3 linked regions of the Rhinolophus ferrumequinum genome follow. The protein of the gene in region 3 purifies or fractionates together with the protein of the main gene of each other region. This does not show direct contact. Links are inferred from orthologs where the notes say so. Each region holds a gene or a part of one and is shown on either strand. Other genes may lie near its edges.

Evidence for each region. The genes of interacting proteins can lie anywhere in the genome.
Region 1: the proteins of MEX3C (region 3) and MYCBP2 purify together in Homo sapiens (affinity purification with mass spectrometry; 3 studies listed by BioGRID and IntAct, with this or other methods). This does not show direct contact. The link is inferred for Rhinolophus ferrumequinum from reciprocal best matches to the Homo sapiens genes MEX3C and MYCBP2.
Region 2: the proteins of MEX3C (region 3) and AP2A1 purify together in Homo sapiens (affinity purification with mass spectrometry; 3 studies listed by BioGRID, with this or other methods). This does not show direct contact. The link is inferred for Rhinolophus ferrumequinum from reciprocal best matches to the Homo sapiens genes MEX3C and AP2A1.

What each region holds. Positions count from the first base shown.
Region 1 is NC_046287.1:28,147,634-28,155,090, forward strand, and holds the start of MYCBP2 (E3 ubiquitin-protein ligase MYCBP2), read right to left. Parts: upstream 3,005-7,457; 5' UTR 2,734-3,004; coding exon 2,432-2,733; intron 1-2,431. UniProt on the Homo sapiens protein: Atypical E3 ubiquitin-protein ligase which specifically mediates ubiquitination of threonine and serine residues on target proteins, instead of ubiquitinating lysine residues.
Region 2 is NC_046298.1:44,813,907-44,821,509, forward strand, and holds the start of AP2A1 (AP-2 complex subunit alpha-1), read left to right. Parts: upstream 1-4,599; 5' UTR 4,600-4,748; coding exon 4,749-4,815; intron 4,816-7,603.
Region 3 is NC_046302.1:41,643,196-41,650,886, reverse strand, and holds the start of MEX3C (RNA-binding E3 ubiquitin-protein ligase MEX3C), read left to right. Parts: upstream 1-4,690; 5' UTR 4,691-5,054; coding exon 5,055-5,778; intron 5,779-7,691. UniProt on the Homo sapiens protein: E3 ubiquitin ligase responsible for the post-transcriptional regulation of common HLA-A allotypes. Binds to the 3' UTR of HLA-A2 mRNA, and regulates its levels by promoting mRNA decay.

The DNA.
Region 1 (7,457 bases), on a different chromosome or scaffold from region 3:
GTTCTCACTTTCTTCAGCATTTAACAACACTGAGGACTTTCAATCCACTTTCTCAGGACCAGAGGTGCTACTATCCATCCCATGGTTCTCTTCTTAGCATTTTTATCTTCTTTTCAGCTTCCTTCACTGTTTCCTTTTTCTCATACTTTTAAACTTGATGCTCGCGAAAGCTTCATCTTCTATTCTTGCTCCATTATCTGTCCTTGAAAGATCACATCTGCTCCCCTAACTCAGCTGGTGCCCCTGTACAACTAATAATCTTCATTCAGAACCTAAAGCCTAGCTCCACTGTCCCATCACATTTAGTAAGAAATATGATTGAATTCTTCAGCAAATTTTCAATAAAGAAGAGTTGCAGGCTAAGACTTAGAAAAAATAATGTGAATGAGAATAAAAAATCATGTTCTGAAGAAGCAGTAGACAGCAATATTATACAACTTAAGGCCGGTTTCCGTAAGTACCTCTTCAAATACTTGAACTAATTCATTAATTTTAATTGGCAGCTTGCAAAAATGGGCCAAAAACTAAGAATCAGCCCCAACTTTTATATACGTGGTTAATCTATATTAATTTTGCCTGAAACTGTTAATATAATTCTAGACACACAGAAATGGTACTACTGCACTAGTAGTAAAAAGTTAAAATGGAAATATACCAGTCACAAATACTGCATAACTCTGGAAACAACATACAAAGTATTAATAAATTCAAATTCTTTGTAAAGATGTACCTACAGTACCATGATTTAGAGACTCACAGCTCACAATTATAGCTAATTATCAGAGCAAACTGTCTAATGAGGTTTTGTGCTATTTTTTAAAACATGAGGAAGAAACAGACTTGTGTCATTGTGGCCTTCAGCTTAGATAGCAAAAGGCTGTTATACACATTTATATCCATATGATTAAACTACTCATGTGCCCAATCCTGAATTACAGACATGAGGAGACTGGTTTACCCAGAAAAACTGTGAACAAAGCTCCACCTTTACAACTCTCTCTAAGAGATAAGAGCCACAATACATACTGGTAAAATACCAAATACCTGACTTAAGCCTACCCTCTTTCACTAATAGAAGAAAATGACAGCTGGTTATTACCTGACAAACTGCATTCAGTAAATACAGTAAACGCTGTAACATTTAACAAAATCCTACTATGCTTTCCCCATTTCCCCGTGTATTTTAAGAAGCTGTGAGAAAAAAGATGATGCCAATTCCCAATTACCACTGTCAAAGCCAAGCTGGTGAAACAAGTCAGTCACCATCCTTCGGGGTGTGTGGCATGTAAGGGCATGGACACACACACACACACAATAGAAGAGCACTTAGCAAAAAGACACCCATATATTAAGAAAAAGAAAATGAAAGTGATTTATCATCTCCTACATCAAAGAAACTGAAGGTGTAGTGAGCCTGGAAGAGATCCAGGAGCTACTCAAATTTTCTAGTTGGTGGCAGTTGAACACTATACAGCTGTCATATTCTGAAGTTCTTCAGTGTTGCCCTTTTTCCCACAAAACCCCCTCTCCTCTAGAACCTATAAGTGACAGAGGAAATAGAACACAAGATGAAGGGAAATGGCTGATGGAACATCAGAACATAAGAGCAATTGCAATGGCATTTCCAGAAGACTAAAGGTCCAGTTATCAAAGTACAACTATAAAAATACGTATCAGACACCTTTCACATCCACATAAATTGCCATCTGCATCCTTTTTTCTCTTAAATTGAAACCCCATGCCTAATCGACAGCCTGATGGGGAAAAAAAAAATATATATATATATATATATGTATATACACATATATATGTATATACGTATATATATATACACGTGTATACGTATATATTTATGTATGTATATGAATGACACTATCTTTAACCTACACCATTGCTCCCTTAAGTGAAAGGCAGATTTTTTAAGGGCGATGGAAAGGGGAGGATGGAATGTCATGGGGGTTGGGGGGGTGAGAAATACGTGCAAATACAATTGCGGCAGAGACTGGAAACGCCACTTCCCTGACCACTCTTGCAAATTCTCTTCTCGTATTACCTTCTCTAACCCACTATCCATTCCTCCTCCTTCCTCAACAATACACACACGTGTCATGACGACCCGAACCATCACCTTTTCTAACATCACATGCTACCCTCCCACCCTCACTAACCCGTCCCCCCAACACACACACACACACACAAAGCCAGGCACACATATTTAGAGCAGAAACTGAAGCCACCGCACCCTCCTATCTCAGTAAGTGCTTCTACCATTCAGCATCAAGCGCTTGCTGGAAGACAGCTCAGTAAATAAGTACGTAGACACACACACACACACACACACACACACACACACACACACACACACACGCAGACGCGCACGGGAGCACGCACATGCCCCATGTGGCGCAAGGAAGGGCACCCGGAGACGCACCTGGAGGCCGAGTGTCCAGCGCTGCCGCCCCCCTGGTCCCTGTCACTGAGCGCAGCGGTGTAAATCCTCCGGTAGCGGTCGGCCAGGGCCCGGCCTGACAGCAGCAGCTGGTAGTGACCCCGAGAGTCCGCGGTCGGCAGCCCCAGCCCCAGCCCCGCGGCAGCCACGGAGCCCTCGGGAACCGGCATGAACAGCGCCCCCGGCGCCGGGGAGGAAGAGATGGTGGCGGCTGGGAAGAATCCGTCCCCGCCGGGCCCCGAGGAGGCGGCGGCGGGGGAGGCAGTCGCTGCGCACATCATCATCCTCGCCGCCGCCACGACTGCCTCGTCCCCACGGGCCGGGCAGGCAGACACGCGCGCGCACACACACAGCCCTTTTCCAACGACGACGGCTCCGGCGGTGGCCTCTCGCTCCCGCAGCAGGGAGACTACAAAGACAGCGATCTCCTCCTCCTTCTCTTCCTCCTCCCCCCCGCACCGCCCTCGCCGCTACTGGGGCCGCTCATCTAACCCCGCCACCTCCGGAGTGTGAGGAGGAGGCGGTGCCGCCGCTGCCGCCGCCGCCACCACCGCTGCCACCGCCGGAGCTGCCCGCAATGGGAAGCTACCGGCCGCACTGGGCATGCGCCACACCTCGCACATGCTCAGTCACTCCAGCCCTTTTCCCTCCCTACCCCCTCTTCTCCACCACTCCCTCAGCCTCGGGGTTGAGCCTTACAGAATCTGAAAGAAATCCACTTCTCCGGATTTTACCAGCAGCTTGAGGAAGAGTAAGGAAAGTGGTAGGCAGGCTGTCAACTGCAGGCATTCGGCTTCAGGTAACGGGTTCCCTTCAGGTGGGAGAACTGGGACCTAAAAAAAAAAAAAAAAGGGAATGTACCCACCGACTGAAAATGAATGTTACATTCTCCTGTTCCCCTTCCCCAAAAGCGTGTGCTGCCAACATGCAGATTTACCGTGAATAGTGCTAGTTAATTCAGAATTCAAGGCAGAGAAAGCCAACTGAAATAGAAGTCCCTTAGGTGCTATTATTTTGCAATTTTTGTCTGTAGGATTTAAGTCTGTTTAAAATAGCTTTTGATTACAAAAGACAGGTATAATTTAGTGCATCCTTTTTTTTCTGTGAAAGTAGAATTCACAGATATGAGCGTATCCACAAGCCAGTCATTCCTAAATTCTTGTTCTCAGCATTTACACCAGAGCCAAAATCTTAACACAATAATACTTTTCTTAAATATTGTTTTGTTGACTCCACACTCACCATAAAAGTTCAGTCTTATCTCTTGACAGTGGTCACTTAGTGGTTTACCTTTTTCTTCCCAGATTTAAATTACTAAAGATAATTCTATATTATGACCGGAAACTATGATTGTGACTATGTATAACATCTGGAAATGGCGTATGTACCAAAGATCTTATTGTGATCTATAAAAATGTAACATTTGCTGAGTCCCCTTTTCCAAGCTATTTTACTGACCAATACTAAGTAAATGCTCTAGAAATACATGTGCCAGTGCACCCCGATTCCTGTTAGTTTTAGCCTTTTGATTCAATTGGAAGAGTATAAATGTATACCCCTGACAAAAATGATTAAGTCCTGTCATCCCAATACCATATTCTTTATCTATTTACTAACTCTTCTTATGTCTGTACCTCTTCTTTGAACATCCTTCTCTTAAAAAAAAAAAAAAAAGCAGCCCTATTTAGTATTTTGAGAAGTAGGGAAGTAAATTAATTCTAGTTACCTAGAGGGGAGGCAATGCTGAAGGACTGCATTTCATCTGAGGCTTTAAATGGTTGATGGATGTCACTCTGATTACAAAATAAAAAGAGCAAAAGAGAAAATGAAAACATAGGGATAAAGGACTGCCATGGGGAATCATAGTATTTTAGTACAGTGAGTAACTCTGTCAAACAATTTTTGTATTTGTCTTGTTTCTTCAATTATTTTATAAGCTCCCTCAGAGCTTCTCATTTATCTTTGTGTCTTCCTCAGCCCCTAATTTAGAACCTTGCACAAAGTAAGTATCCAATAAGTATGTTAGGCTAAATTCCTGTCCTGATATTTCAGCACAGTTACAAGCTCGGTGTTGAACAGGAAGCCCCCCTGCCCAACCCTAATTTCCTAAGGGTCAGAGGCAAGACACAGGCATAGAGGCAGCTAAAGGCTGGTGGAGTTAGTAGTCTGAACAATGCAGAAGCTGCTGCAAGGGCTCATTCTGTTGTAAGAGTCTAGGAAGTAGCCAAAGGCTCTGACCGGCTGGGATTTGGATCCTGACTCTGCTACTTGTATATCTTTGGGCAAGTTTGGTCCTCTGAATAATGGTCAAAATACTACGAGATTATGGAAGGACTTCAGGTACCTAGGATGCCCTCCTTGGCACACGGCTTTTCTCAAATGGTAACACACAAAACAAAACATTCTAGACTTTTTCATAAGGACAGGTACGGTGTCTGGGTCTGTTTCCCCATTACATCCCCAGCTCCTAGAACAGACTCTAGCTCTAAGCAGGAGGGAAATATATATTCGCTGAATGAATGAATGATGGCTGCACAGACAAACATTTCCAGTTCAGGCTTAGGAGGTGGCACAAGCAGTCATTGCCCATTTACAGTTTCTAGTGGGGACTGACCAGAGCGGCTGCACTGATCTCCAGTTCTTCCCACCTCTTCCTCGATTTCACTCCGCTCTGTACCCTACCCTTCAGTCCCAGACAGGCCCCTTCCTGGGCCTTCTGGGTACACACAAAACCCGGTAACAGGATCATTTCCTAAGGAATCCGTTGTCAAGAGCGGCGCCACTAGGCGTGCGCAGAGTCGCACACATGCTCACTTAGGTATCCGAGGGTGGCGTTTGTTGCGGTTGGCAGCGTTTCCTTCCACGGCAGCGGCAGCGGCCGCTCTACTCTAAATTGATAGCCAGTGCAGCGTTTTCTGTCCCTCCTCCTCCTCTTCCTGCCTCTGCACTGGGCACTCCCGGTCACTGCAGCTGCTACAGCTATTGGCCCTGGCAGCTGGGGACCTTGGAAGGTTCCCCTGGGGTGGCGGAATAGGGGGTGCATCCCAGGAAGGAAAGGACGTTTGGAGTCGCCTTTAATTCCACTGTCAAGGGGACACGAAGGGGAGGGTGGTCCCCAAAGCAAGAAGCGAGGGTCACCTGAACCGTCACTGCTGACGGGAGATGTGGGTTTCTCTGAATGTGCAAAGCAAGCGTCCCCTCCCGCCAATCTTGAGCGCACAACTACTGAATGCTTTATGCTGCCCTTGTGTGCGTTTGTGCGTGTGTGTGTGGGGGGGGATTCAGAGGGAGGGGCTCTTGTTATTCAAGGAAATATGGAGAATGAAAGCATATAGAGGGCTTTGCTTTTGTTTTTCCAACCCCACGGAGTGCGGCTCCCGTACTTTGCTCGCTGCCATCTTAGCTTTATCTTCTGGCCGGGCTGGGCGTGTGTGTGCATTTGTGTGAGGAGGGAATGTTAGAGGCGTGCGGGGGAGGAAGGAGCACTGCGCAGGTTGGGTGTCAGAATTGGCTAGACAGGGGTTCAGGACACAGTCGCCCTCAATAACGAACTAAGGCAAATCGTGATTTCAACCGTTTTATTAGTGAAACGCATGAGGTATTTTGTAATCTTTGTGGTTGATAACATTCATTTCTCAAAAGCATCTCTCTTGTCTATGATCATAAAAGACTATGGCTTCATCTTTCGATGGATGGTCACCGATTGTGTCACTCTTTACACTGGAAATGGCAAACCTGGGACTATAATTTTCTAACCTCTTTAGAGATTTACACTTTTTGTACTACATTTCTTTAAGGCTACTTTTTTTTGTTTTGTTTTTAAAGAAAGTCATCAGCACCAATGTATGAAAAGCAGGGCAGAAACCATTAGGTGTATGTAAGAGGACGATAAGTGATGTTGGATGTTGTTAGTTTCATTTTAAAGGTCAATATTGTCCTAATGTTTCGAGATTACAAACACAGGAAGCATGTATATTACCAGGAACATCAAGAGGGCTGAAAATGCTGTGGTCAAGAGTCTGAGTTTGTTGCCCAGATTTGTACAGTAATGTGCTGGAGCATTTAAAAACAAAATTGGTAATTGAGAGCATTTTAAAAGAAACTTGGTAGCTGAGAACAATTTGGAAGAAAAAATGCTCAAGCTTAAAGAGTAAAGAAATGCATCACTCTTCAGTAATCTGTGCTGTTTAAGGACCACAGAATTTTGCGTCTTTGACAAATATGACCATATCGAGCTTTGAAATATTTCATATGATATATTTAATACTCCAAATTGAACAGAAAAATTCAACATGGAAGTTGAAATTCTTTTACACATAAATTAGATGTTGGATTCCCTAGATATCTTGATCTCTTGCTTTAAATAACTCTTTTTAGAGCTTTAGAAGAGTCAGTAATTTGTAGGTATGAAGAGTTAATGTTTTTTCATTTTTATTCATATTACTTTTGGAAGATACAAATTATATGTAAGTTTTCTTACAAATGAAAAAATGTGGATTCTAAGGGACCTGACTTACGTATGCCCTATTTTGTCCCGGAAAAATTATTCTAAAATATTATGTGAGGATATTCTTTGAAGTATGTAAATTCAATAATGCACATTTAACTGCAAATCACATTTTTAAAAACCTTGCTGTGATGCATTTTAGACTACAAGAAGTTTTCACAACTGATAAAGAAAGTCATATAAAGTATAACTCTTTGAAAGAGAGAAATGTAAGAACCACAGCATTTTAACCTTGAAAACTTAGGTATAGTTTCAATGTAGTGAGTTTTGGGGATTTTAATTGATGCCTACATTTTGACACGTAGTTGTCAAAATAGATTATAGTTTCTTCTCAAGTGGCTTGTGGCTATGATTTCTATGGTTCAAAAAGTATTAATCATCCATGGCTCACATTCTCTGATAATTTACTGTAATTAACATCAAAATCTTAGCCCCACCTAGTTCAACTTCCTGTTTTGATAAATATTTTTACTTTTATATTTGAAAGTAAAAAGAATCCGA
Region 2 (7,603 bases), on a different chromosome or scaffold from region 3:
TGTCTGTTTGTTAATTTCTTTTGTTCTTTAGATTCCACATATAAGTGAGAACATATGGTCTAGGGAGAGCTTACTTTAAATCCCTAAGTCTAGAAGTTCTCTCCTTAGCAGGGCCATTGAATTGAGACCTGAAGGATAAGGGGCAGCTATGGGGAAAGCTGCAGGAGGGGTGTAGAGATGTGTCTGGAGGGTCAGAATGGCCAAGAGGGAGGACAGTGTGGCTTGAGTGTTTAAGCTGGGGAAGGACACCACTGACTGATGTTATAAAGAGCAGCTGGGAGAGTGTGGAGAATGGACCGTGGGTAGCCAAGATGGGAGCAGGGAGAGCAGCAAGGGACGTCACTGCAAAGTTTCAGGTAGGGTTTCCAGGCGGGAATTCCCGCCTGTTTTCAGGAATTTTTTTTGCTTTCCCGTTCCCGAATACTGATATATAAACTGTTTTCTGTTCTCCACGATGAATCGTTTCCACAAAGTGACGGCCAATAATACTACCAACCACCTGGGTTCAAGGAGCCGATTTTCCCGATTTCCCGACCAAATTTTCTCGAGATTCAAGAACGGAAAAAGCGAAAAAATTCCAGAGAACGGGCAGGAATTCCCGCCTGGAAACCCTAGCGATAAATAGGAAACATGTCTAAGAGATACATTGTGAGTAGTATGTTTATTTCCCATTGTGGGTATTACTGGCTTCAAGGAGCCGATTTTCCTGATTTCCTGACCAACTTTTCTCAGGATTCGGGAACGGGAAAGCGAAAAAAATTTCCTGAGAATAGATGGGAATTCTTGCCTGGAAACCCTAGTTCCAGGCAAGAGATGATGGTGATGGTGGCCTACACGGGGCGGGGCAGTAGTGATGTAAGGAGGTGGCTGGCTCTGGGATATGTTGTGCCCTTGGTTTGAGGTGACAGACAGGAGGGATTCTAGCGAGAGTGCCTGGGTGATTGATGGAGGGCCCATTTGTCAAAATGGGAAGACTGGGGGTGAATACAGTTTTTCTGGAGAAAGTTGAGAGTTGATTTGCTCAGGTCAAAGTCTTAGAAGCTCTTGATGGTTCAATCCATGAGCTCCTTTAAGACAGAGCTGCTGTGTCTTAAAACCAAAATGGACTTTCCCAAACCTCATCTAGACCACCAAACGTGGATTTGTTTGTGGCCTGGTCTTAAAACTTAGCAGTGGGTCAACCCCTGAGCTCCAAAATGTTCTTTCTCAAATCTGGTCCTATAATTCTATGCCATCCAATATCAATGCCACTATGAATGGCCTGTGTCTACTGAGGGCTTGCAATGTGGCCAGTCTCAACTGAGATGTACTATAAGTAAAAAACCCTGGATTTCAAAGACTTAGAAAAATAAGCATGCCAAATATGTTGAAATGTAATATTTGGGTATATTGGATCAGATACAATATATTATTAAAATTAATTTCACCTTTTCTTTTTACTTTTTTTTTAATATGCCTGGAATAAATAGAAATTTATACCTGTGGCTCCCACTGTATACCTACCGGGGGTGCCACAAAAACGTATACACATGACTGGTATTCATCTTTTGTTATCGGTATATATTGAGTATTACAATTTTAATACAGTTCCCCCCCCTTTCTTCCGCCTCTCCCACCCCCTACTCCCGTTGTTTCTCAGTCTAGTTGTGTAGGACACAGCTCCCTGGCCCATGCTGGTATTATGAGCCTTGTGCTCCCCTCTGGTGAGGCAGTCAGTTGCCAGTCCTTGGTCGGCTGCTCACAGCAGCTCATAGCAGCTCTCACCAGCTGCCAGCCGCTCATGCTGGCCACCGGCTGCTCATGGTGGCACACAGTAGACGGTGGCAGCTCACGCCAACCTCTGGCTGCACACTGCAGCCCAGCTCCAGGGAGAGCCGTTGTTCACAATCTTAGCTGTAGAGGGCGCAGCTCACTGGCCCATATGGGAATGGAACCTGCGACCTTGGTGTTAGGAGCACGGCGCTCCAACCACCTGAGCCACCGGGCCGGCCCTAATATGGTTTTATCCTTTCTTAAAATATATATACATTTTTTTTTGGCACCCTCTGTATATCGGTAAGCCCTGCTCTAATTCAACAGGGGTCAAGTCCACAAGCTCCTAAGGGGGCACCATGTCCACCCCACATGCAGGTTTCCCCAAAGTCTCCTTTGCCATTCTGACTCTTTAGACCTCAGACTGCCTTTGCTTTAGACCCTGTCTTAAAAGTTTTTGGCTCCTTCAGCTGCGGCAGCCATTGAGGAGCACCAGCCATGGTCCTGCACTACCCCATGGCCATGAGCCTCAGCCAGGGCCACAAGTGACCAAGAAAGTGAGCAAGTGGAGGCACAACTGACTCCGCTGCTGGCGCCTCACCCGAGTTCTGTGGGACATGATCTGAGAGGTGTGCGGCTTTGCCCTCTATGAGTGGCGCCATGGAGCTGCTTAAGGTCTCTTAGGACAAGTGAGCCCTGAAGTTCATCAAGAAAAGGGTGAGGACACATTTCTGTGTCAAGAGAAGAGAGGAGCTGAGCAGTTCTTACAGTCATGAGGAAGGCAGCTGCCAAGAAGGACTGACTGAGCCCCATCCCCCTCTGTGTAATAAAACCTTTTCAGAAAAAAAAAAAGTTTTTGTTAATTCATGGGCTCTGGAGGTGGTTGGGAGAGGACTGAGTTTTCCTGTATATCCACACTGAGAACTCAGAATTAACTCCATCTTACTCCAGGTGGGTGAAAGGTGAAGGGTTGGAGGTGGTGGGTGAGAGGAAGGTGGAGAGCTGAGGTGGGTAAGAAAGTGGCTTTCCCCCTTACTTAGAGAAGGACTTTACCTGTTCTTGGGACTCTGGCTGTCTCTCTTCACATTCCTCAAAAAGCGGAGTAGTTAGAACCTCCACTGTGTGTGTGTGTGTGTGTGTGTGTGTGTGTGTGTGTGTGTGATATCTATATCTATCTATCTATCTATCTATCTATCTATCTATCTATCTATCTATCTATATAGATAAATTTTTTTAATGGCATTATCTTCTGGGAGAAAGTGCCTCCTCCTATGTGACGAATGGACCCCTCCAGTCCTTGGATGCTTAACATACCTTCCTTAAAAAGGACTGTTTTCAACTCCTGGTCCTAAGAATTTTTTATTTTTAATGGGCTTGTTCTATGTTCTTTAGGGGCAGACAGCACCCCCAACTGTTATTAGGAATGGACTCCCTTGGTCACTAAAACAGCTGAGTGATGTCTGTCCAGAATACACTTTCCCAAGCCCCATTCCTGGAAACCCAAATGGACAGATCCATTGAACCCGGAAGGTGGGCTCTTCTCACCCTAATCTCCATCCCCCCAGGACTCAGCCTGAACGTTCCCGCCAACCAGGACACTCCACCAAGGCTCATTCCAAGAATACTAGGTTTCAGAGATCTGAAAAGGGTAATGGGTGGGGTTTAGTTCCTCCGTGACAGAAATGGACTCTTCCAGTTCCCTTTGCCCCAAATTGCTCAATAGCCTGGGGCGTTGGAGTTCCGGAGGCTTTGACTTCCCAAAACCCAGTCAACCAGAGCGGGTCTCTGGGGCACTGAAGGGTGGTGGTTGGGCCAACCACAGCAGATCTACCTATTCCTTCCTTTTAAACAGCGTTCTTCAGTACTGGGTCCCATTCTTGCTCAGGAGCTGCAAGTCTGGTGGAGAGATTCACAATTTTGACTTGATATCTGTATAATGGCGTTATGATTGCGACAAAAAGGCATTGCCTATTAAAAAGTCGTTAAAAGCCAAAATATAATTTAAATTCCGATTCTGACACTTCCTAGCTGTGTGACCTTGGGCAAGTCATTCAACCTCTCTGAACCTCAGTTTTGACCTCTGCTTAATGGGACGAGACTTGAATTACTGTGTCCTCTGCCTTGGGATTCTCGGTCTCCCGACAAGTTAGGTCTCAACTTCTTGGCCGCTAAATAAGGGAGGAGGAGGTGGTGGTGGGGAAATCTTAGAAGATTTAAGGAGAGTAGGTGGAGGAAAGTAGGGAGAAAGGGGAACAGACACACGCTTGCGCAGTAAACACCTCACGCTTTCTTGCCCCTCCCATCCCCTTCTCTGCAGCAGGGAATTGCAGACGACGCTCCACCTATCCCAGACCAGCTGAGCGACACCTTCCCTTCTCCTTCCTTTTCCACCTTTCATCACCCTGCTCCAGCCCACATTACCGCCCAATGGTGGGCGGGAGCAGGACGGCCCGGCGAATCTGCGAGGTCTGCGGGGGCGATCTATTCGCCCATTGGCCCGAGTCAAAGCAAGTTCCGCCTCCTCAAGCCCGCTCCCCCGCCTTCCTTCACGCCAATCCCTCCCTTGTAGAGAGCGTTCGAATCCAATCAATATCCCAAGTATCCGCGCGTAGGGGGCGGTCCCACAGTACGTAACCGGACTCCGCCCGCCTCTCGGCAACGCCTCCTCCCCCGAACGGAAATAGCGGGGAGCTGGACCAATCGTAGCGGCGTGCCTTTGCCCTGCGGCCAATGAGAGAGGGAGTGAGGGAGATCCTGTGTCTGAGCAGCAGTGACCTGAGCCAATGGGCGGCTGTGAGCTCAGACGGCGGAGGGGAGGGAGGGGCCGGGGGCGGAGCTGCGGCCTGCCAGCCCGCCTGCCTGTCCGCCCGCCCTCCCCCCCTGGCCGGCTCGGCTCCTTGGCGTTGCCTGGGGTCCTTTCCTCCCGATCCCTGTCTGCCAGCCCCCGCTGCGCTGTGCCCTGCCCGGCCAGGCCTGGAGCCGACACCACCGCCATCATGCCGGCCGTGTCCAAGGGCGATGGGATGCGGGGGCTCGCGGTGTTCATCTCCGACATCCGGAACTGTGAGAGCTCGGCGGGGGGACACTGGAGACGGGGAGCGTGGAATTGAGGGGTTCGAGGGTTACAGAGAGGCCCGGGGGATAGAAAACCATTGGGGTCGTAGAGGGAAAAGATAGAGAGGACCCGGGGGGAACTTTAGGGTGGGGGGAATGGAGGGGCTTAGGGTGTCATAGAGTGCCTCTTGAGGTGACGACACGGAGTGGCTAGAGGCGTCTGGGAGGGTCTTAAAGGAGAGGAGGCTAGTAAGGTTCCAAGGATGGGGGCATAGAGGTGTCCCTGTGGATGATAGCCGGATGGGTCGTATTAGCGATGGGGTTAGAGGAATCCCTGATGTAGATACAAAGGGAAGGTGGTGGATGGGTTGCGGGGGGGCGGGGGGGGTATTCTGTGGAGTGATAGAGTGGGAGGAGGCTAGAGGGGCCTGGGAGGACGTGAAACGCTGGGAGCCTAATGGGGCCGCGCTTGAGGGCCTGGTTGAGAGGTTGTCATAGAGGGAAGAAGCTAGATAGGTCATTGAGGCCCTTGGCTAGTACATAGAGAGGGCCTGGGGATGATAGAAAGTCCCAGGGGTTGGGAAAGAGAGGTGGGAAGGTGGGGGCCTATAGCGGGACCCTGGTGAGGGACAGAGGGGCTCCAGGATGGAGGATTGCTTAGGAGATATTGAGGGCAGTGCAGAGGCTTGAGGGGTTACGGAGGGGAAAAGAGGGACTCACGGAGTGTAGAGGAGAGACACTGCAGGTGAGGGTCTTGGAAGAACCTGAGACAGAAAGCTGGGGCCTGAAAAGGGGAGGATATTATAAAGTAGGGGCTTGGGGGATGTTCCAGAAAGGGAAGAGCCCAGAGCTCAAAGAAGGGGCCAGGGAGCCTTAGGAATTTGTGAGGAAGAGATCTGAAAAGCTGGGGAGTAGAGGAAGCCTGGTCTCAGAGAGGGGTCAGGGAGCATGACAGTTCTGAATCTATAGCCCTGTCCCTTCTGACCATCTCAATATGGGACAGTGAGCACCACCAGGAAGGATTGTCATGGCAATGGGAGGCCTGGCATCCAGTCAGTCCCAACTCCTGGGATCTGGTGTTGGTATTTGGAGCTGCCAAGAGCTTCAGAGGCTGTTCCACATGGGATTTGGGGGCAGCTAGACCTGGGTTTGAGTTTAAATGCTGTCACTCCCCAGTGGTGTGTTAATGTGTGTGAATGAGGCCTTTTGCACATTCCAGGCACCGGGAGGATCTTGGCTATTGTTCTTGTTATTTTGCTGGATCTGAGGAGTGGCCAAGGATCTAGCACATAGTAGATGTTCAATGAACAGGAAGGGTGGAAACTGTTGGTATCAGGTGGTTGTCATGAAAAGGGGTGGAGCTAGGAGGGGTTGTGGACTAGGAGGGGTTGCCGGCTGGTAGAAGCAGGTGTGCATCGCCTCTGATACCTACCAGACATGAGACCCTTGGCATATCACTTTAACCTCTCTGAGGCTCAGTTTGATTGTCTGCAAACCTCAGTGAGAATAGCATCTTGCCTCTGAAGGTTCATTCATTCATCTGACAAGTACTTTTGAATCAGTAAAGTGTGCCAGACACTGTTCTGGGGACTGAGGCTACAAAAGTGAACAAAAATTCCTGCCCTTGGGAGTACCATGTCATGAGGGAGAAAATAAACACAGAGAACCTGCAATACATGATACAATGTCAGACTATGCTGTGAAGAAAAATAAAGAAGGGGAGGCAGGCAGAGGGCCCCGGACTGAGAGGGTGCTCAGTGAAGGCCTCCCCGAAGAGCTGACATGTGAGGGGAGACTTGAGTGAATGGCGGGAGTAAGCCCTGTGGATCCAGGCAGGGGAACAGTGCATTCAAAGGTCCTGAGGTCGCGGCACACTTGGTGTGTGTTCCCATATGAGTGAGGGGGCCGATGTAGCTGGAGCCAAAAGAGGGAGAGAGGATGGGAGCTGACGTGTAGGGCTTTGTGGGTCACAGTGAGCCCTTTGGCCTTTCCCTGAGTGAAATGAGAGAGGCAGCAAGGTTTTAAGCGCAGGAGGGACACGAGCTGATTGATGTTTTAAAATAATTTTTCTGGCCGCTATGAAGAGCACAGACTGGAGGCAAGAGCAGAAGCAGGGAAAGAATTAGATGCCTATCCAGGTGCGAGATGGTGTTGGCTCACCTGGGGTGAGAAGGGAGTGGGGAGAAGTGGTTGGATTTGGGATAAATTCTGTAGGATTTGCAAAGGGATTGGATGATGGGGTTAGGGAAGGAAAGAGAAAACAGGTTGGTGTCACTGCAGGACCCCAGCGGGAAGCCAGAGGACAGAGAGGAGACTCCAACTTGGGGACAGTGGAGGTAATTTTGCCAAATGTATTGGGGCTGGACAATCAGGGCTTCCCCTTGTCTTTTTCTCATCAGGTATATGTTGAGTGCCTGGTATGTTTCTCGCCTTATTATAGGCGCTGGGGATATAACGGTGAATAGGACAGACTTGTCAGTGTCCCTGTGGAGCTCCTAGCCCCGTGAGGGAGACCTGTACTGCATAAAAAATGCAGCTGTCCTTGTTACAAACAGTTGTATACAGATGTTGATAGCAGCATTATTCATGATAGCCAAAAAGTGGAAACAACCCAAATATTCATCGATAGATGAATGGATAAACAGATGTTTTCCACCCACACAATGGAATATTATTCAGCCATTAAAAAGAATGCAGTACTGATAACCTAGATGCTACAACACGGATGAACCTTGAAAACATCATTCTAAATGAAAGAAGCCAGACACACAAAAATGTATGATTCCATTTATCTGAA
Region 3 (7,691 bases):
TCAGTCAGCAAGTATATATGGGCTCCTCCTCAATGCCAGGGACTTCAGTAGGCACTGGCTTTGTAAGGATGAAAACAAAGGAAGAAATACAATTAAACAACAAGGTAGGAAGAGTGTTTCTAGGGACATGTAGGATGCAATGGGAGCCTACCACTAGGATACCTAACCTTACTTAGAATGTTAGGGAAGCCATCCTCCAAAAAGTGACATATAAGCTGAGCCCTGAAGGACAAGCAGGAGTTAGCTAAGCTAAGAGTGAACAGAGGAGAGCTACATTCCAGGCCTGGAAGCATAATAAGAGTATGTAGAATATACGAATGGCTGCTAGAAGGTCTCTGTGGCTGAGACCAAGAGTGCAAGAGGAAGGATGGTATTGAAATGTGGCTAAAGAGTTAGACGGGGCCCAGATACAGAAAGAAGACCTTATAAGTTAAGAAATTGGGATGTTATGTGGACCCTTAAGGACAACAAAAAGGGTTTTAAGCAGGGAAGTAGAAGGAATAAACTTGAATTAAAACCACTCCAGCTTCAGAATGGAAAATGAATTGGAGGAGAGCAAGACTTAATGTAAGAATATTGTTTTGTGGATGAGTGTGATAGTTCATGGTCTAAATGATAGTGGCCTAGACTACAGTAATGATAGTAAAGATGTAGAAAGATACGTAGATTTGAGAGTGAGAGGTGTGTCCCACAGGACTTGGTCTTTACAGGCTGTGGAGGTTAAAGGAGAAGTCAAGAATGTCGACCAGGCTTTCAGTCAAAGGAACTGAGTAGGATATTGGTGCTGTCTAATCCTAAGCTAAAAAGCTGATTTTAACTGAAATTTCAGTTTGAGAAGTTGAGCTTAAATTGAGGTAGAATTTGAATTGCCACGTGGAGACATTCATAAAACAGTGGGATTTATGTGTTTGGAACTCAATGGATAGATCAAGAATGACAACATAGATTTAGGAATTGTCAACAAGGAAACAGAAATCTGGGGAACGGATAAGATTTTTAAGTAGAGAATATAGATAGAGTAAGCAGGAAACAGACTCGAGACAGATTTTTGATAAATACCCAAAGAGTGATAGAGACACTGAGCGTGCAAAGGGGCTGAGGCATACTATGAAAGTAGGAGGGAAAGCAGAGGGAAGGCAAAGGAAGAGAGTGCTATAAGGAGCAGTCAATGGTGTCATGGAAAGGTTAAGATGGATAAGGATAAAAAGTGCTTATTGGATTCAGTGACAAGATGGAGATAATTCCAATGAAGTAGCAACAGCCCGCTGGTGCATTGCAGTGTGAGATACAGGACAGCAAATAGTTTTCGAAGCAGCTGATTTGGAGTAGAGAATAAAGAGTGGTGACAGGAGGGAGAAGTGCCATCAAGGAAGAGTTTCTGTTTGTTAATATAGGACAGATTTAAGTATGTTTATGTTACAATTTTGAGCACTTGCAAGAATGATACCAGAGTGTGGAAAGCCTGGAATTCTAGGTAGGAGACTTTGTTCTCAGGCAATTGGGAGCCCTTTCAAGTAGGAGAATGGCACGTTTATTGTCATGCTGCAGGAAGACTTATCTTGGAGTTGGGTAATACTTATCCCAGGGGACATCCTACTGTAAAGAAACTCATCCCTGCCTTAAAACAAAGCAGATGTTTTAGTTTTGGGTTCTAGGTGAGGGTGTCAGCAGAATCTTTCACCACGCTTTTTGGCAGTCTTTACAACTTTGTTTCAAAATTGTTTCTAATTATCTCAGTTTTCTTACTAGGACAAACATATTTGTTAAGCTTCATTTAGTTTGCAATTGTTCCAACCTTAATATCATTATAATTAGACTTAAAAGGCTAGTTCAGCAGTCAGCCTACTTAGTTGATAAAACGTAGCCAACTCTGTAGTTTTCTTTTAGTCTTAAGATCCTTAAGTAACTCTTCTGCCCCTATATATCAACCTTTGTCATAAACAGCAGCACAAGGAATGAAAAGAAAAACTATTCAAGTGCAAATTAATAGTATTACTGGGGGAGTGTAGAAGGGATGGTGTTTAACGGATTTAAATGAAAGAATACCAGTCATACATTTAGAGCAAAAGCAAATCTTAAATGTGCTTGGTAAACAAGATTTAATACAAGACAATAAATATAAACCCAAAGGGGAAGGTAGGTGAGCTTCAATATCTCCAGCCTTGTTCATAAATCACAATATTGATCAAATATAAATTAATGCATGAATGTATACATTTGTGTCTGGGAACATATGAAACCTCATTTATTACGTGAGAATGAAGCAGAAAGCAATTTTTATATTATGAACACCTAAATTAACTATTTAGCATTTTTAAAAATCTTAGCTGAATGGATTTTGTCTACATGAATCTATTCTTTACATATCTACTTCTCAAAAGAAAAATTTGTAGTGTGAACTATCACTCCCACTATAGCTTTTGCTTTGGTTCCTAGGGAAGAGAACTTAAGACCAAGGGGTGAGCATTAAATGACAATACTCATGAAAAGAGATGAAGAAAGGAATGTCTGAGAGTTTCATTTGTAATTCTATTACCCATTTCCTCCCAATGACCAACAATATATCCTGGGAGTGGCCACTGCACCTTTTTATTTTCTCCCTTGGTGAGATTTGCTTCGCTAAAAGATCTACCCTTCAAATAATGGTTATTGTTTAAACTGAAATATCAGACAAGCATATTTGTATAGTCTATAAGTAAATGTCTAATAATATAAGCTATTCAATGATACATTTTAAAATATTCAGTACCTTTATAAGACGCCATGAAATATTATGTCCTTGGGGCAGAGATATTGCAAAAAAAAAAAAAAAGATGTAACGTAGTAAATCAGTGAAAATTGTGCCTAATTGGGAAGGTAGGGGAGAAAAAGGTCATTTTCAGTAGAATTAATGGCACGTTTCCGTCTGTAACCGCCAAACTCAAACCCTAGATCAGTATTCTCAACTCTGGCTGAGCTCTCAGAATCTGTGTGGCTTTTTAAAAACGTGTGCCAGGTCCCCACTCCAGATCTACGAAATCCAAATATCCAGAGTTTTGCCTCTCTTTGCTCTACATTTATCTTTTTTAAAACCCCTTCTTCATCCTGATGTACAGTCAGGGTTATCACTGCTTCGGAGCCCACAGCTACAAATGAGTTGTTAGAGAAACAACATACAGGGTTATATGAGGACCAGAGTAACCTAGTAACAGGAAAGGTTTTAGGGCTAGCTAGAATTCTCTAGGCCTTTGATTGGAGGGATAGACTAAGTTACAGAATTGGGCACATGGCTATAAGGGCACACAAAAAAAACTCAGAAGACATAGTTAAGACTTCTCTTGGACTGCTTGACTTTGTAACATCCTAGACAGTTTAGAAAATTGGTGTTCAATTCAAGTTCATTCATAAGAAACAAGTGTGAGGCAGGAAGATACAAGAAATCCAATGTAGGAAGGGTCCCAAGTTACAACTCAAAATTCAAGGTCTTGAGCGGCTAGTACTCAGTACTTGACGTATGGCTAGTGTAAAGCAAACTTAATTGAGATAATCTGTGAGTCTATGTAAGGAAAATACACACAATTCTTAAGGACATTGCGTGAAAAAACTGTAAGATGTATCATTAATAATTTTACATTGATTGCATGTTAAAATATCTTGAATTATTGCACTATTAAAACTGTTTCTTATTTTTTTAATGGGCCCCTAGAAGCCCTAAAATGACACTATGTTGCTCACATTATATTTCTGTAGGACAATGCTAATGATTAACACTAACCTGGGGAGACTACCTGGTACTAAAGGGGGGAGGGAGGAGTCATAGACTAAGATGGAGGAAATAGGCTTTAAAAAGCCATTTAAAAATAAACCTCTAGAAAAGATAACCAGTGTGTAGGATCACATGGGCAATACCGTGGGAAGAGCGCTTGGAGGAGGAAACGATTTAATTTCCTTGAAAAGCCCGGAAGAACTGAAGTTCAGCATTTAAGGCTCCTGATGTAACCAACCGGCCTCGCATTGGAAGCCGGGGCAGATGGTCGTGGGAGGGCCCTGCCCCAAGGGAGGAGCATTCCCGGGTTTTGCAGGGAAGGCCCAGGAGCCACGCGGCTCAGGAAACCACCCCGGCGGCCGGATAGGAGGACATTTCATTAGCTTCCCCCTTCGACTCTCCTTAGGCTCTTACCCTGAAAGAGGGAAAGCTCTTCCCCAACCTGGGGAAACAATGCCCTCCGACCCATGTCTATACTCCACTCCATTGCCGCTCCCACACTGCGCAAAAAGACCCGACCCAGGTGGGCAACAGAAATGCGGGAAAAGGAAGAGACCCAGGTGTGCGCTTCAACTGTATGCGCCTGCGCGAAAACCCCTACTCAGTCCTTAGTTTCAGCCTCTGCTACTGCGCCTTCATCCCGCCTCCTTTTCCCCGCCCCCACCTGGGTACGTCACAAAGAGTGACGTATAAAACGAACAATCGCAGTCCCTCTCCTCGTGAGCCAGTAGGCAAAGGGGAGGGAGGGGAGGGGGGAGGGGAGAGGACGAAAGGAGAAGGCTTCGGGGGCCCCAGTCACCCAATCAGAGAGCTCTGGGGAGGAGCGGGGCGGGGCTCGAGAGGAGGGGTGGGGGGGTGGGGCTAGGGAAAGGACTTAGAAGGCTGCGGCGAGGAGAGGGCGGGCTCCCAAAGATTAAAAGCGCCCAATCAGAGCGCGCCGGCTTCATTTGGAGAGCGGCGTGGGGCGTCGCCGCCGCCGCCGCGCGCGCCGGGGGCTGGTTAAGGCCATGAAACAAAAGAAACCCTGAGAGGGGAGCCGCTGCCACCTCCACCAGCCCGCCCCGCTGCCGTCCCCACCCACCCACCTAGTTACCTACCTCTGCCGCCTTCCCTGGCCCCTCCACCCCGCCCTCTCCGGTCTCCGGGCGGCCCTGGCGCTCCTTAGCCCCGGTCGCCAGCCCTGTCGCCTCCCCAGAGGAAAGGTGTTTGCGCGCTGAGCAGGGCCCAGGCCCTGTCCGCCATGGGGCTCGCCGCCCGCCGCGCCTGACCCGGCCGCCGCCGCCGCCGCCATTGACAGCACGCTGCCGCGATGCCGAGCGGCAGCTCCGCGGCCCTGGCCCTGGCGGCGGCCCCGGCCCCCCTGCCGCAGCCGCCCCCGCCGCCGCCGCTGCCGCCGCCTGCGGGCGGCCAGGAACTTGAGGGGGACGGGCTCCTGCTGAGGGAGCACCTGGCCGCGCTAGGCCTCGACGACCCCAGCCCGGCGGAGCCCGGTGCCCCGGCGCTAAGGGCCGCGGCGGCGCAGGGCCAGGCCAGGCGGGCGGCGGGACTGTCTCCGGAGGAGCGGGCTCCGCCCGGCCGGCCCGGGGTCCCGGAGACGGCCGAGCTGGAGCTGGAGGAGGACGAGGAGGAGGGGGGGGAAGCGGAGCTGGACGGAGACCTGCTGGAGGAGGAGGAGCTGGAGGAGGCAGAGGAGGAGGACCGGCCGTCGCTGCTGCTGCTGTCGCCGCCCGCCACCTCCGCCTCCCAGACCCAGCCGATCCCGGGCGGGTCCCTGGGGTCGGTTCTGCTGCCCGCCGCCGGCTTCGATGCCCGGGAGGCGGCCGCGGCGGCGGGGGTGCTCTACGGAGGGGACGATGCCCAGGGCATGATGGCGGCGATGCTGTCCCACGCCTACGGCCCCGGCGGCTGCGGGGCGGCGGCGGCCGCCCTGAACGGGGAGCAGGCGGCCCTGCTGCGGAGGAAGAGCGTCAACACCACCGAGTGCGTCCCAGTGCCCAGCTCCGAACATGTCGCTGAGATTGTCGGTCGCCAGGGTGAGTGTGAGGAGGGTTCAGCGGGGCATGGCCCCGGGCGTGGGTGGGAGGACGAAAGAAACCGGCTTGGGGCAGGAAAAGCGAACCTGGCGAGTCCCCCAAGTCCACTGCGAAGGGGTCTGGGAGGAGCCGAGGGTCGGATGGGTCACCTTTCGAAAACCCACGGTGTGCCGCTCGTTTTGCATGATAAAAGGTATTAAGTTTCTCGAGCCACCCAATCCGGCGGTGTTCACTTTACTCGGGCTGTATTCGTGGAACACCAGGCTGGCGTGACACCAAAAACCTCAGTGAGGTGGTAAAAGGTCGGGTCGATTGTGCATTCGGTGTGGTGCCCGGGGAAAGCTCCGAGATTGCAAGTTTGCTCCCCGACTCTGGTAAAAGCGCTCGGCTTCCCTTCCAAGAGCTCGTTCAGATGGGGAAATGCACAGAAATGGAGGCTTGAAGAGAGACTTCCTTCGCGAGGGAAGGGGGATGTTCAAGTGGTGGGTTTCATCGCCACCCCCCACCCCTCCGCTATTCAGAAACTTAGCCTTTGAAGTGCAGCCTAACTCAGTTGATCTTATTGTATTCCTTTTATATTTTAACTCTCAAAAAGGCACACTGGCTACCTTGTAGTATGCTTTAGTGTACACGATGAAGAAAAATGCAACAGTAAGGTTACTGAGTTAAGGAACTTGATGCATTTATACCGTTTTCAGTAAATTCTCTTCCCTTGCCAGCACACCAGTACTGCAGACAGACTCCTCCCACATTGTTCAGACAAAGGACCTATGTCTCAGATTCCAGGAGTAGATTTGTGAAGGTGGGGGAAGGGGATGCCCAGAGTACCTCTGTATCCGACGTTTTTAGGGAAGGTCCAATGGCCGTTAGTGTACTTTTTCTCTCTTATTAAATATACCTGCAGCTGCCTTATTACTAAATGGTTTTGCTTGGTTGATACATGTTTCTTTGCTGTTAGGTTGAGAGCATTGTTGGGGTCAAATAAAGAGAAATGATGGCGCTGCTGCTTAAAATGATCTCATCTTTCCCAAGTGGTCTAAAGTACACATAAATAAGAGGTCTGTTGAAATGGTGGTTTCAAATATCAGGGTTGGCTCATTTCTTACCTCTACGATTTTAATAAGAAAAACCCATCTGGATAGAGGAGATGGCTTATTTCAGACCCCCTGATGATTGGAACTTAAAGGCAGTGTTCAAAACTGGTGCCATTCAACAGAGAGTTTATTACTATAGTTTGGCAAATAACTTTAGCATGCCTTGTTTGGTTTTTGCAATGCTTAAGATACTAATGCAGGAGAGAACTATTTCACCTTACATAGGACAAAATTAGAACATCTCAATTTATAGATCCAGAATGAGTTGGCCTTTCAGTTAAGAACATCGAGGAATTGCTATGTATTGAGCTTGTATTTTGCCAGGCTTTGAGTTTATGGCAGTTGGGAAGGTGAGGTTGATTTCAGACAAACTTGGTGCCCTTGAGAAGCTAACAGTCTAGTAAACAATGGAATGACCCTAAACTAATATATAGTTAATGGCACTAACTGTAATGTGTGACAAACAAAAGTCGTACATACGAACAAGAACATAAACCCTGGGTGGCCTTGGAAAATGGACAGGGCTTTATCAAGTGGAGATGGAAGAAAGACTGAGGAACAATGCGAGGAAAGGTACAGAGGAATAATCTCTAGGTATGATTGGGAAGTTGCATTTTTCTTTCTCTTTTTTCTTTTTTTTTTGTTTTGTTTTGTTGATACTTAGTATCTGAAAAGGGGCTGGGAAGGAAGGTGGTGTGTGTTTGGGAACAGAGTATATGAAAAACCCTTATTGCCATGCTGGGATGATGCCACTTAGCACAAGTTGCAACAGTGTGCATATGGTGACAGTTTAGGATAATGAAGAACATTTACATGCCA